3 linked regions of the Notamacropus eugenii genome follow. The protein of the gene in region 1 binds, or shares a complex with, the protein of each later gene. Links are inferred from orthologs where the notes say so. Each region holds a gene or a part of one and is shown in the gene's direction. Other genes may lie near its edges.

Region 1 (3,748 bases):
CTTGGCTTCTAGTACATGCCACCCGCCTGACCTTCCTTAAGGCCTTAACCTCCATGTCTTAGCATTGCATTGCACATGTAGTAGTGTTGAAAGGAAAATTCTTCATCTGGGTTTTCATCCTGATTAAGGAGGCAAAACTCAGGGCAAAGAGAACTGAAAAGATTTACTTTAAGTATGTCAAGGTAGCAGGGCTGATGACTGAAGATCAGACATGGCTTCAAGGTGGGGACAACTTTTATAGGCAGCTTTAAAGTAATCCAGATAGGTCCACCCCAGCACAAGAAGTGCGGCTTTGAATCGCCTTTCTCCCCAGAATAGCAAGAACGGGTTAGTTTGCAGATAAGGGTAAATGAATGACTAGGGATAGAAAAACTGCAAACTTGGTGTCTCCCTCCCCACTACGGCTTCCCCCAACACTCTTTGATAAGCAGGGCTAAGCAACTGAAGGGGCTTAAAGTTCATTGAATGGAATTAAATTGAATTTTTCAGGACTTCTGTTTAACCCTCTTTTTATTTAAAGCTCTTTTCACAGCCTGACCAGAGCCTTACTTTCCAGGGTTATTAGCCATTGCTCCCCTTTAGCCACTCACTGTAAGGTCCAACCAAGATGGCCTACTTGTACTTATGCACAGGACTCCCCAGACCTAGGATGCACTAACCTCCTGAGTCCCTGGCAGCCTTTAAAGCACGCCTCCTACTTGAGGTCTTTCCTGATAAATCCAGTTGCTCCTGCCTCCACTCATTATTCTGTATTTTTGTGTGACACCTTAAATGTGTGCATACTGGATGGAAGCTCCCTAAGAATGCTCTTCAGGGCCGCACACTGCTGAGTCAAATACATTTTTAAAAAGATACATAGTAACTAGCTTTGTTGCTTTTCATGTATTAACTCATTTGAACCTCATAACAACCCTAGGGAGGTGAGCGATATTACCATTCTCATTTAACACAAAAGGAAACAGAGGCTGAGAGAAGGCAGTTGGCCCGACTGGGGGAGGTTTTGAACTCGAGTCCTGACGCCGACGCTAGCACCTGACCTGGGGGCTTAATGCAGTGCCCGGCACCCCGGAGGCGCTTCTGTAAATGCTTGTTGCTTGAATGAGTGGCCCAGACCAGTCTCACTGCCCACCCTCATCCATGCCTGTGATGCCCTGAACTGTCCTACAAAGCTCAGCTTGGCTGCGCGGTGGGCCGGGCCAGGCCGGCTTGGGCGGGGGTCCCTTCCATCCAGCCACACGCGCATGCGCCAATCGCCGCGCGGGGGCGGGGGAGTCCCAGCTCCCAGTTGCCTGGAGCAACGCGCGGAGAAAGAGAACCCCGAGGCAGCTGCTCCAGCGCAGAGGGTGGTGCTGGGTGCGAAGGGCGGGAACCTTCGCCTACTTGTCCTCCTGTCTCGGCTAGTCCCACCCGCCTTGGGCAGGCCCCAGCCCGCCCAGCAGGCCCCAAAATGGCCTGCCCAGAACGATGCCACCCTCGACAAGAGGAACCACTTCTCCCAGGGGTCCCAGGTATCAGGGCGGTGTCGGGAGCGCCGTGAGCCGGCCCACCCGGGCCGGGCTGGGGGGCGGGGCCGGGCTCCCCTGCCCGGGGCCTCGCACGCCTGTCTGGCGCCGACCCACCACGTGCTCTTTCCTCCTCCCAGTCAATGCCCTCTGCGCCCTGACCCCGTTCTGCCCCGTAAGCCCACAGTTCTGTCGCCACCACCACCTAGTTTTTCTTGAACCCCGGCCTCTCCGGCTCTCGCGCGCTGTGCCATCCGTCTGCGCCTGGGCAAATCACAACCTTTTTGCCCCTGAGTTCCACCTTTGTAAAAGGACAACTAAAATTCCTTTTCAACCCTAAGACGGAGCTCTCTCCTTTTGCGGATCAGCCTGTTATTGATCTGATCTCAGCCCCTGCTCTGAACCACCCACTTAGCCTGTGACATCAGGGGGCCTAATGTAGTGGAAGGAGACTTAGGCAGCGTGGTACGGTGGGGAAAAAGTCAGAGAGAGTCCTGGATTTCTGGTCTACCTTTGTACATCTGTTAGGGCCGTGGTTAAGTGGTATCACTTCTCTGGGTTCCTTTCCTCATTTGTTAAACAGGAACAAATGTTTACAGTTGAAAGCTCATCAGGTTTGGTATAAAATTAAAGTTATGTTTCATATTGGAACACATTTTCAAAGGATTTTGACAATGTGGATTTTAATTGTTTCAGTCAGCAGTCTTCCCATAAAAATGTGGCCTAGTATTAAAAAAAAATGTTTGTGAAAGCGTAGCTATTGACTTCTTATGTTTTCATTTTGGATCTCTTCAGTGTGTTCATAGCACCCTATACAGACAAGAAGGAAGACATAGCAACTGGGAACGTCTTTTCGTTTATCTTTTTTCCCCTTATAAAGGCACCATTAATGATCTTTTCCATTCTTTTGAAATCTTTCCCTGTCTCAGCTTAAAATTCTACTTCATAGTGCTTTAACAATTGTGTTGTCCGCCATTCAGACTTCTCTCTGTGCTTAGTTAGGTTCAGCCACCAGTTTTGACTTCCCCCTCTTAAATACCATTACTTGGTATTTTCAACATTGGGATGCTGTAATCTAAATGTTTTTAATGCAGAGAGATCACTGTGAAAATGCCTGTAGATCCATTTTATCTTCTCTGTTTATCATCTTTTGTCCAGTTTTATCTTCAAATGTAATTTGGCTTAGCTGGATCTCATCTAGAGGGGATGATGGTGATGATGATAACGTTATATTTTGACTTGGCACTTTACACCCATTATCTGTTTGGATTCTCAAATCCTCTGACGAATGCAGCACAAGGGGGCAGCTAAGTGGTACAGTGGATAAAACACAGGACCTGCAGTAAGGCACACTGAAAGCCAGTCGTAGACACCAGCTGTGTGACCCTGGGTGAGTCACTTAAGTCACTGAGTTTGCCTCGGTTTCCTCATCTGTAAAATGGGAATAATAAAAAGATCATCTAACTCCCACGGTGATTATGAGGATCGAATGAATTAATAATTGTCAAGTGCTTAGCACAGTGCCTGGCATGTAGTAGATACTATATACATGTTAGCTCTTATTATATGGATAGTCAAGCAAAACTAATTCCTACATTGGCCATGTCCAAAAATGTATGTCTCATTCTGCGTCTTGAGTCTATCTCTGTCAAAAGATGAGTAGCATGCCTCATTATCAGCCCTCTTGAATATTGCATTGATTAGTTATTAAGTCTTTCAGAGTTGTTTGTCTTTACAGTATTGTTATTATATAAATTGCTTTGGTTCTCCTCACTTCATTCTGCATTAGTTCATACAAGTCTTCTTAGGTTTTTCTAAATTCATCCCCTTCATCTGTTCTTATAGTACAAGAGAATTTCCATTGCATCCTGGCCCATCTCCTGTCATCCTGAGAAATAATGTCAGGTCACTGGATTCAGATGGCTCTGGAGAAGCGAGGCCGGTGACCTGCACAGCCCTCCCGCACTCAAAGCAAAGTCAAGTGCAAGTCATGTCATCATTTCTCTGATGGCATGGTCTTCTTTGGCAACAAAGGACGAACACAAGAGAATTTCATTACTTTCATATACCATCATTTGTTCAACCATTACCTACTTTATGGGTACACTCTGAGTTTCCAGTTCTTTTTCTTTATGGAAAGTGCTGCTGTAAATATCTTTATATATAATATATATTAAATATATAAATATCAAACATAATAACTTTAATTTTCTTCTTTCTTTGACCTCTTTGATACCATAGGACTA
Region 2 (3,748 bases), about 180 Mb from region 1:
CACTTGCCTGTCATCACTCTAGTATCCCTTTCAAGAGTGTCTGAGGTCCCCAGAGGCATTAACATGGAAACTATCGGGGCTGCAATTCAAGCCTCTGCCCTTCCCAGCCAGACAAGCAGATCCGACAGAACGGACCACAGATCTGGAGGCAGAGGAGGCTCAGGGCACAATCTGGCTGAATCCCCTCGTTTTAGAGATGAGAACACTGACCCCCAGGTGGGTCAAGTGATCCGCCCAATGCCACCCAGGCAGCTAAGGGTCAGGGTTAACACTTGAACTCAGGTCTTCTGACCCCAGAGCCGCTGGACTATGATGAGAGAGAGAAGAGAGGGAAGGGGGAAAGTGAGGAGGAGCGGGCACCACAAGGATGGCTCAGGTTGGCAGCGCTCGGAGGACCGTGCCCAGGGCACCCCCCGCTGTCCTGCGCGGACCGGCCTGGGCAGGGTCCTCCCACGGGGCACCCCCCGGGGAAGCATCCGGTCAGCTGGCCTTCTCAGGCACCCACTCGAGAAGACGCGGCCGGGGCCTGGCACGACTCCCTCGTCCGCCCCAGGCCCACGCCACCGCGGCCCGCCGAGCGCCCGGAGAAGGAAGGCTGGGACGGGACCGAGCCGCCCGGAGATGCCGGGCCCTCCGCCCCCACCCCGAAGCCGCCCGGAGGGCCTTACCGAGGCACTGTCCCACCGGGGTACTGAAGGGGTTCCCCAGGAGAAACTCCATCTTGTGAGGACAGCAGCGCAGGCGGCGGAGGCTCCGACCAAGCTGCCCGCCGCCGCCACTGCCGCGTCGCAACCACCCCCTCCGGCTCTCCCGGCCTGAGTGACACTTGCCCCCTTTCCCGAACGGAGAGCTGCGGTCTCCCTGCCCCTCCTGCTGATCTAAGTCCTCATTGGACCGTGCCTCCGAAGCCTTCCACCCATTGGCCGTCGATCGTCCTCCGAGAAGCCCTCATTTATTCCGCGGGCTCTGATTGGTCCACGGGACAGGTAGGTCATTTCAGCTCTCTTTCTGGTCTCGGCCCCGAGTCGGGGACCCGCAATTTGATTCGCCAAAATAGTGATCTATCTAAAGGCTTCTCCTAATAATTGGATTAAAATCGAGGACGTCACCACCGCCTCCCGCAGAGGCGGGCCACTGAGGGCCCCGCCCCCAGAAGGCAGCGATTGGAGGGAGATTTGTTTTCTCTATGACTGGTTGGTGAGAAAAGCATTTTCCCCCGCCCAAAAGTTTGGGCACGTGACCAGTCAACTTTCACCTCGGAGAGGCCGTCATCGGATTTCCCCTTAGCAACCAGACAGTCGCGTTGTCCTCCCCTAGCAACCGGGCACACTTCTTCGAGGCAGGAACAAGACGGAGGCCAGAGCCCCGGCAGGTGAGACACCCAGAGCGGCCTTCGGGGACGGGCCTAAGGACGCGGCCTGGCCTGATCCCCCAGGACCCCTCCGGGACCGGGGCGGAGGGCAGCGTAGTCAGGCCTGGTGTCGGGACCCCGAGTTCTAACCCGCTCCCCTCCCCCACCCCACTGCTGAGCTCTGTGTCGGGTTCTGGGCTTCCTAGGACGCAGTGCCCACAAGTCTCGGTCTCTGGGTCCGTCCGACGGGGACGCAGGCCCCCCCCCGCTGCACCCTGCACCCTTGGTTCCTGGGGCAGGAAGGGGCTTCGGTGCGAACAGGGAACGCCCCGGAGCGAGTGGTCTCACGTCTTGGAGTTAGCGCCATTCGGGGCTGTGATTGTGTGACGTTAGTTCTAGCCTGATGGAAATGTGCAATGCTAATCTGAACAGTGTCTCCTTCCCTCCCCTTCCCCCCCTCTCTCTGTCTGTCTGTCTGTCTCTCTCTCTCTCTGTCTCTCTCCATCTGTCTGTCCTTCCTTTTTCTTTCTCTGCCAACTTTCTACGAAAGGTCTTTATTAATGGACGAATTCTTTTTCAACAAACCCCGTCAGGGGATTCGTTACTTACACCAATCCGAACCTAGCCATGGGTTTCCAGCTATCCTTTCCCTGCAACAAACCTGTGAAGCGGGTAGTGCAAGTATTATCCTCATTTTACAGTTAGGAAAACTTTAAGGAGATGAAATACCTTTCCCGCAGTCACACATCTAGAGTCAGAGCTGTGACTCAGACCCGAAACTCAACCTACTGTAAATCTAATGCTTTTTTCAAAACCCCACTTTTACTTCCTTCTCTCTCATTCCTGTGGTCCTACCAATGGCCAGTCCAGTTCGTTCCAGATGTAACATCAGCTGTCAGTGTAGAGCATAAGATAGGCCTGCTGAAAGATAATCAGGATGGGAGAGGAAAATTGAAATGCTCCATGCCTTAGAGGGGGCTTTCTAGTCCAGGGGAGCCTGTGGCCTCTCAGGTGCAGCCCTTCGACTGAATCCAAACTTCACAGGACAGATCCTCTTAATAAAAGGACCTGTTCTGTGAAATTTGGAGTCAGTCAACGAGGCTACATCTGAAGACCTAGAGGGCCACATGTTCCCCACCCCTGGTTTAGTCCTTTATCCTCCTTTCATTCTCCCTCCTTTTCTTCAGATTCAAGGAAGGTTTAGCTTTAGGGGCAGCTGTTCATAATGGGTTCCACTGGTAGTTTTGAAGATAAATGAATATTTAGGCTCTTTAATCATAAGGGAAATAATTTGCTCCAGATCTCCATTAAACCTTCCCACTATTCTGGGGGAGATTTAAGGGTTTTAATAATTGTAATAAAATTTGCTCCCCTCTACAAGGATGGTGGTCCCTTGACCACCAAGTCAGAACTCAAGAATTTCTTCAGTTCTTCAGTTCTGAAGAATACTTACTGTGTTATGAAAAATTTAGAAAACTCTTCAGGGCCACCCCCACCATGCGGGCCACAGGCAGTGGGAACAAACTCTTTCATGAAAGGATAACAAGGCTTACAAACTACCATGGTGGGGTGGGGGAGTTGGTGACAGAATGGAGAAGAAATGGGAATTATGAAAATATGGAGATATTTTTTGTCTCATTCTGTCTAAAAAGATGGAAGAGGGAAAGGGGAGTAGGAAGTTTGGGGAAGAGAGAACCCGTTAGGGTTAAGGTGTTAAGAATGTTAATTCTACCTTAGCTTGGATTTCTCAAGTACGAAGCAATCACTCAGTTTGGGCTCATCTCCTGCTCTGATCACTGCTAATCACCTCCCTCCAGTGGATGAAAATTCTGCCAGTTCTGGGTGGATACCATAGTGCTGTCCCTCTCTTGCAGTCCTTTCTTGGCTCATTCTCCCCTGCTTAGCTGCCCCTGCCCCAAAGACCCAAGCACTGCTAGGATTTGGGATGGGGGAGTGGCAGGTAGCTGGCACCTGGAAATATAAGGCACAGCATCAAATGCTCATCAGTACATAATAGAACAATGATAATTAATCTAATGTCCCATGTAATGGTCTCAGAGTACCAAGGCATTATCACTACAATATACGCAACAGATAGAACACAATGCAAAGCTTCACTTGACAGGTGTTTTGTGACTACAGATCTAAATTATATGTGAGATATGTATTACAAGCCAAGCATTAATAGCAAAAATAACTACAGTAGGCCTATGAAACAACAAAATTAGCAAAACTACAAACAGAACTAACAAAACTGAGCAAAATTAACAGAAATGTTGCTACAATACAGTCCTAGTACCAATACACAGCAAGGAAGCATAACAAAAATGATAAAGCATAAACATATGTAAACATATGATAATTAACATATATGTCAATAGGCATATGTATGAAGAT
Region 3 (3,748 bases), on another chromosome or scaffold:
GGTGTGTTAGACCAGGTGAGCCCCTGAACAGATACAGGGAGAGGAAACTCAGCTTCGAAGTTAATTCCAAACATCACGGCTACTTTAAACCTCCCAAAGGCTCCCAAGTGGACACAAGGAGAGGGTGTGACTTCTCTCCAGAGCAAGGGGTAGATTTGGGAGCCACCTCCCCCCAAAAATGCTAAGGGCGTTGTGTTTGTGTCCTGGATAAGTGGAGGAGAGAGAGAACACCGGAAAGAAAAGGAGAAGTGGGGTGGGATGAAGGGAGAAGCAAAGAGAAAGGAAGCAACAACAGGAGAAAGAGAGCTGTGCTTGGAACCAAAGGTCCTGGGTTCGAATTCTTCCCGTTCTGCTTAGAAGCTGGGTGACCCTAGAGAAACCACTTCATTTCCTTCCCTTCGGCCTCAGTTTCCCCATCTGGATGATGGATGGGGGTCAATGGACTGAGGACCCTTCCTGCTCTAGATTACTTCTCCCTCCCCGTGCCTCAGTTTCCCCAAATGTAAAATGGACTAGATCTCTACGGTCCCTTCCATCTCCAGCTCCAGGATCCCGAGAAGAGAAGAAGGGACGGAGGAAGGGACTCAGCCCGTTTGGCCTCCCCTTTACACGGGTGCATCGCCCCCCCTCCCTGTGCCCTTCGACCTCCGACCCCCGACCTCTCCCTGGGTCCTTACAGGAGACACCCCCGCGAGCAGCGATCGCGAATCGGGTTCCGAGCCAAACCTTCTGCGAGACGCCGCTCCGAGAGTCGCGGGCCGGTGGCACGACCCGAACTCGCCGCCCCGGAGAAGGGGAACGCCGCAGCCGCCGGCGAGCCCGTTTCCATCCGCCCGCTATTCCACCTCCCCCCACCCAGCCCGGTCCCGACCCCGTCGTAGCCCCGCCCCCTTTCCCGGAGGCCTATCGCCTGCACGAGCGGACACCGCAGCTCTCCGATTGGTCGGATGGGACGCCCTTCCCTTTTCTCCGCCCACTTGACTCTCCTCCTCTTCCCTTTCCTTCCGTTCTCCGGGGCACGAAATGAGCCTCCGCCCCCTTCCCAGTCTGCGGTGCTCTGATTGGGCTTTTCTCTTTTTCCCGCCCTCTGCATCTTGGAGGAGGAAAGGATGCCTAAAGCTAAAAAAATTACAGTTTCGTTCGGCTCCCCTTTGTGGGGTAGCCTATCCTTTGATTGGCTCTGAGAAACGTCCTTCTACTTTCCCCGCCCCTTGCAGCCTCAAGGGGTGGCTTCCCCTCGTTTTTTCATTAGTTCTTCCGGAGGCCTTGTGGGGGTTCTTATTGGAAGTTCCTTGCTCTTTTCCCCGCCTCCAGCATGCAAGTCTCCTCCCCTTCTCCTCCTCTCCCTCTCTTCGCAGCCTAAGGTGCATCCGTCTCGGCTCTTTCTATTGGTTGTCGGGAGTCGGGGTCTCGGAGTCATCGAACTCACGGTGCTTCCGATTGGCTGGAGCCTGTGGGGTAAAGGGTCGTGGCCAAATGGAAAATGCCGGACGTTGAGTGGCGACTGCTAATTCCCGCCCCGGATGTGGTTGGTCTGGTTGAGTTGTTTACCCGTAGCCTAGCAACGTGGCCACTCTGGAAACTGAGGAAGGAGTAATTGAAGGGAAGGGAAGCCCCGCGGCTGCGCGGGCGGGTAAGTGGGGTCGTGGCGGAGAGGACGAGGTAACGGAGAAGATGAAGTGGACAGGGGTGGAACTTTCGTGCGACTAAAGGTCACGTAGTCCATGCCCCTGCCTCCGGGCAGGAACATTTGCCCAGCCCCTCCCCCACCGGGTGCCTTTCTTATGGCAAGGATCCCCCGAGGCCATCTAATCCAACTGCCCAATATTACTGAGGACGAAACTGAGACCGAAGCAGACAGAGCCAGGATGTGAATCCAGGATCATATAGGAATGTATGAGCTATAAGGGATCTCAGAGGCCATCTAGCCCAATTCCATTATACAGATGGGGAAACTGAGGCACAAAGAGGTCCAGGCTCACAGGGCCAGTTAAAGGGCAAAACAGGGACTGATCTCGGAATCTCCTGGATCCCAGCCCCACGAATATGCTCTGACCATCCATTGAATTTGATTTTGATTTGAGAGCTTTGCAAGTATGCCAACTCCAACTCCACCTACTGGATCTTGCTCCCAGTCTGTCCATAAGTAAATATTTTTTAAGTACTTACTATGTGCCAAGCTAGATGGTTCAGTGTATAGATCACTGGACCTGGAGTCAGGAAGACTTGAGTTCAAATCTGGCCTCAGATACTTACTAACTATGTGACCCTGGACAAGTCACTTCACCTCTGTTTCCTTTAATCCACTGGAGAAGGATACGGTGACACTTCTCCAGTATCTTTGCCAAGAAAATCTCATCAACAGTACAATCCATGAGGTCGTGAAGAGTTGACACAACTGAATGACTGAACAAGAACAATGTGCCAAGCTAGGGATTATGAAATCCCTAGAAACAGAGTCCCTGTTCTCAAGGAGCTTGTGGTTTAATAGGGGAGACAGGACGCAAACAACCATGTCCAGATCATATGTATACAGGATAAATTAGAAATCATTAACCAATGCAAGGTTCTAGAATTAAGGGGTATCAAGAAGTATGTCTGAGGAAGAATGAGGAGCTTGATGAGAGGAAACAAGAGACAAATGAGGTTGGAATGGAAAGAGCCTTGATTTGAATGTCAGCAAACCCTGGCCGGACACTAATGAAATATGATCCTGGGCAAGGCATTTGAGTTTTGGTAGGCCTCCAATTTCATCCTCTCTACAATAATGGTATTAGACTAGATGATCTCAAAGATCCTTTGAGCTGTGAACTTGGAACAAGCTCTGAGGTCAGAATTGCAGAGTCATGAAACCAGAGGGTCCATCATTGAACAAAAATCCTCTCTACCCAGACCTAACAAGGGGTCATCCAGCCTTTGCTTCAAGACCTCTAATGAAGGGATGCCCACGATCTCCTGAGGTAGCCCATTACATTTTAGGAGACCTTTAGAAAAGTTTTTCCTGATCTTGAACCAAAATCTCTTTTCAGCTTGCATCCATTTCTTCTAGTTCTGTCCTCTAGGGATGAACAAAAACAAATTTAGTAACTCTTCAGATAACTGAAAACTGCTATCATGTCATTACATTCCACCTCCACCCCCTGCCCCAGTAATGTCTTATTTAGGCTAAATACTCCCAGTCTCTATATAGAACAACCTCTGAGCCTTTTACCATCCAGGTTGTCGTTCTCTGAACACTCTCGTTCACATGTGTTCATATTCAGTCATGCCCTACTCTCTATGACCACATTTGGGGTTTTCTTAGCAGGAATACCAGGGTGGTTTGCCATTTCCTTCTCCAGCTCGTTTTACAGATGAGGAAACTGAGGCAAGCATGCTTAAGTGACTTGCCCAAGCTCACACAGCTAGTAAGTGTCCTAGGTTTGAACTCAGGAAGATGAATCTTCCTGACTGTAGACCCAGCATTCTATCTGCTGTATCACCTAGCTGCCCCTGAACACTTTACAACTTATGAATGTCTATCTTAAAATTTGGTGCTAAGAACTCAATACATCTGATCTGACTGGAGCAAATGAAAAAGAGATTATCCCCTCCTTATTCCTTGAAGTCAAACTTCTCTTGATACAACCTGAAATCAAATCAGCTTTTCTGCCTGCTGTGTCCAGAAGTGTGCTGGAACCAACTCTAACTAGCTAAAATTTCAATTATGAGCATTTACAGCTCAGAAATTAGAGGGTTTGATTTGGTG

The links.
Region 2: FBXL13 (region 1) and DRC3 share a complex: the UniProt entries of both Homo sapiens proteins name them as parts of the nexin-dynein regulatory complex. The link is inferred for Notamacropus eugenii from reciprocal best matches to the Homo sapiens genes FBXL13 and DRC3.
Region 3: FBXL13 (region 1) and IQCD share a complex: the UniProt entries of both Homo sapiens proteins name them as parts of the nexin-dynein regulatory complex. The link is inferred for Notamacropus eugenii from reciprocal best matches to the Homo sapiens genes FBXL13 and DRC10.

What each region holds. Positions count from the first base shown.
Region 1 is NC_092874.1:152,914,370-152,918,117, forward strand, and holds the start of FBXL13 (F-box and leucine-rich repeat protein 13), read left to right. Parts: upstream 1-1,056; 5' UTR 1,057-1,241; coding exon 1,242-1,508; intron 1,509-3,748. UniProt on the Homo sapiens protein: Substrate-recognition component of the SCF (SKP1-CUL1-F-box protein)-type E3 ubiquitin ligase complex.
Region 2 is NC_092874.1:335,190,513-335,194,260, forward strand, and holds the start of DRC3 (dynein regulatory complex subunit 3), read left to right. Parts: upstream 1-1,172; 5' UTR 1,173-1,372; intron 1,373-3,748. Other genes in the region: TOM1L2 (TOM1-like protein 2), read right to left, coding at 669-720. UniProt on the Homo sapiens protein: Component of the nexin-dynein regulatory complex (N-DRC) a key regulator of ciliary/flagellar motility which maintains the alignment and integrity of the distal axoneme and regulates microtubule sliding in motile axonemes.
Region 3 is NC_092875.1:32,967,754-32,971,501, forward strand, and holds the start of IQCD (dynein regulatory complex protein 10), read left to right. Parts: upstream 1-970; 5' UTR 971-1,633; exon of another isoform or gene 1,634-2,960; intron 2,961-3,748. UniProt on the Homo sapiens protein: Component of the nexin-dynein regulatory complex (N-DRC), a key regulator of ciliary/flagellar motility which maintains the alignment and integrity of the distal axoneme and regulates microtubule sliding in motile axonemes.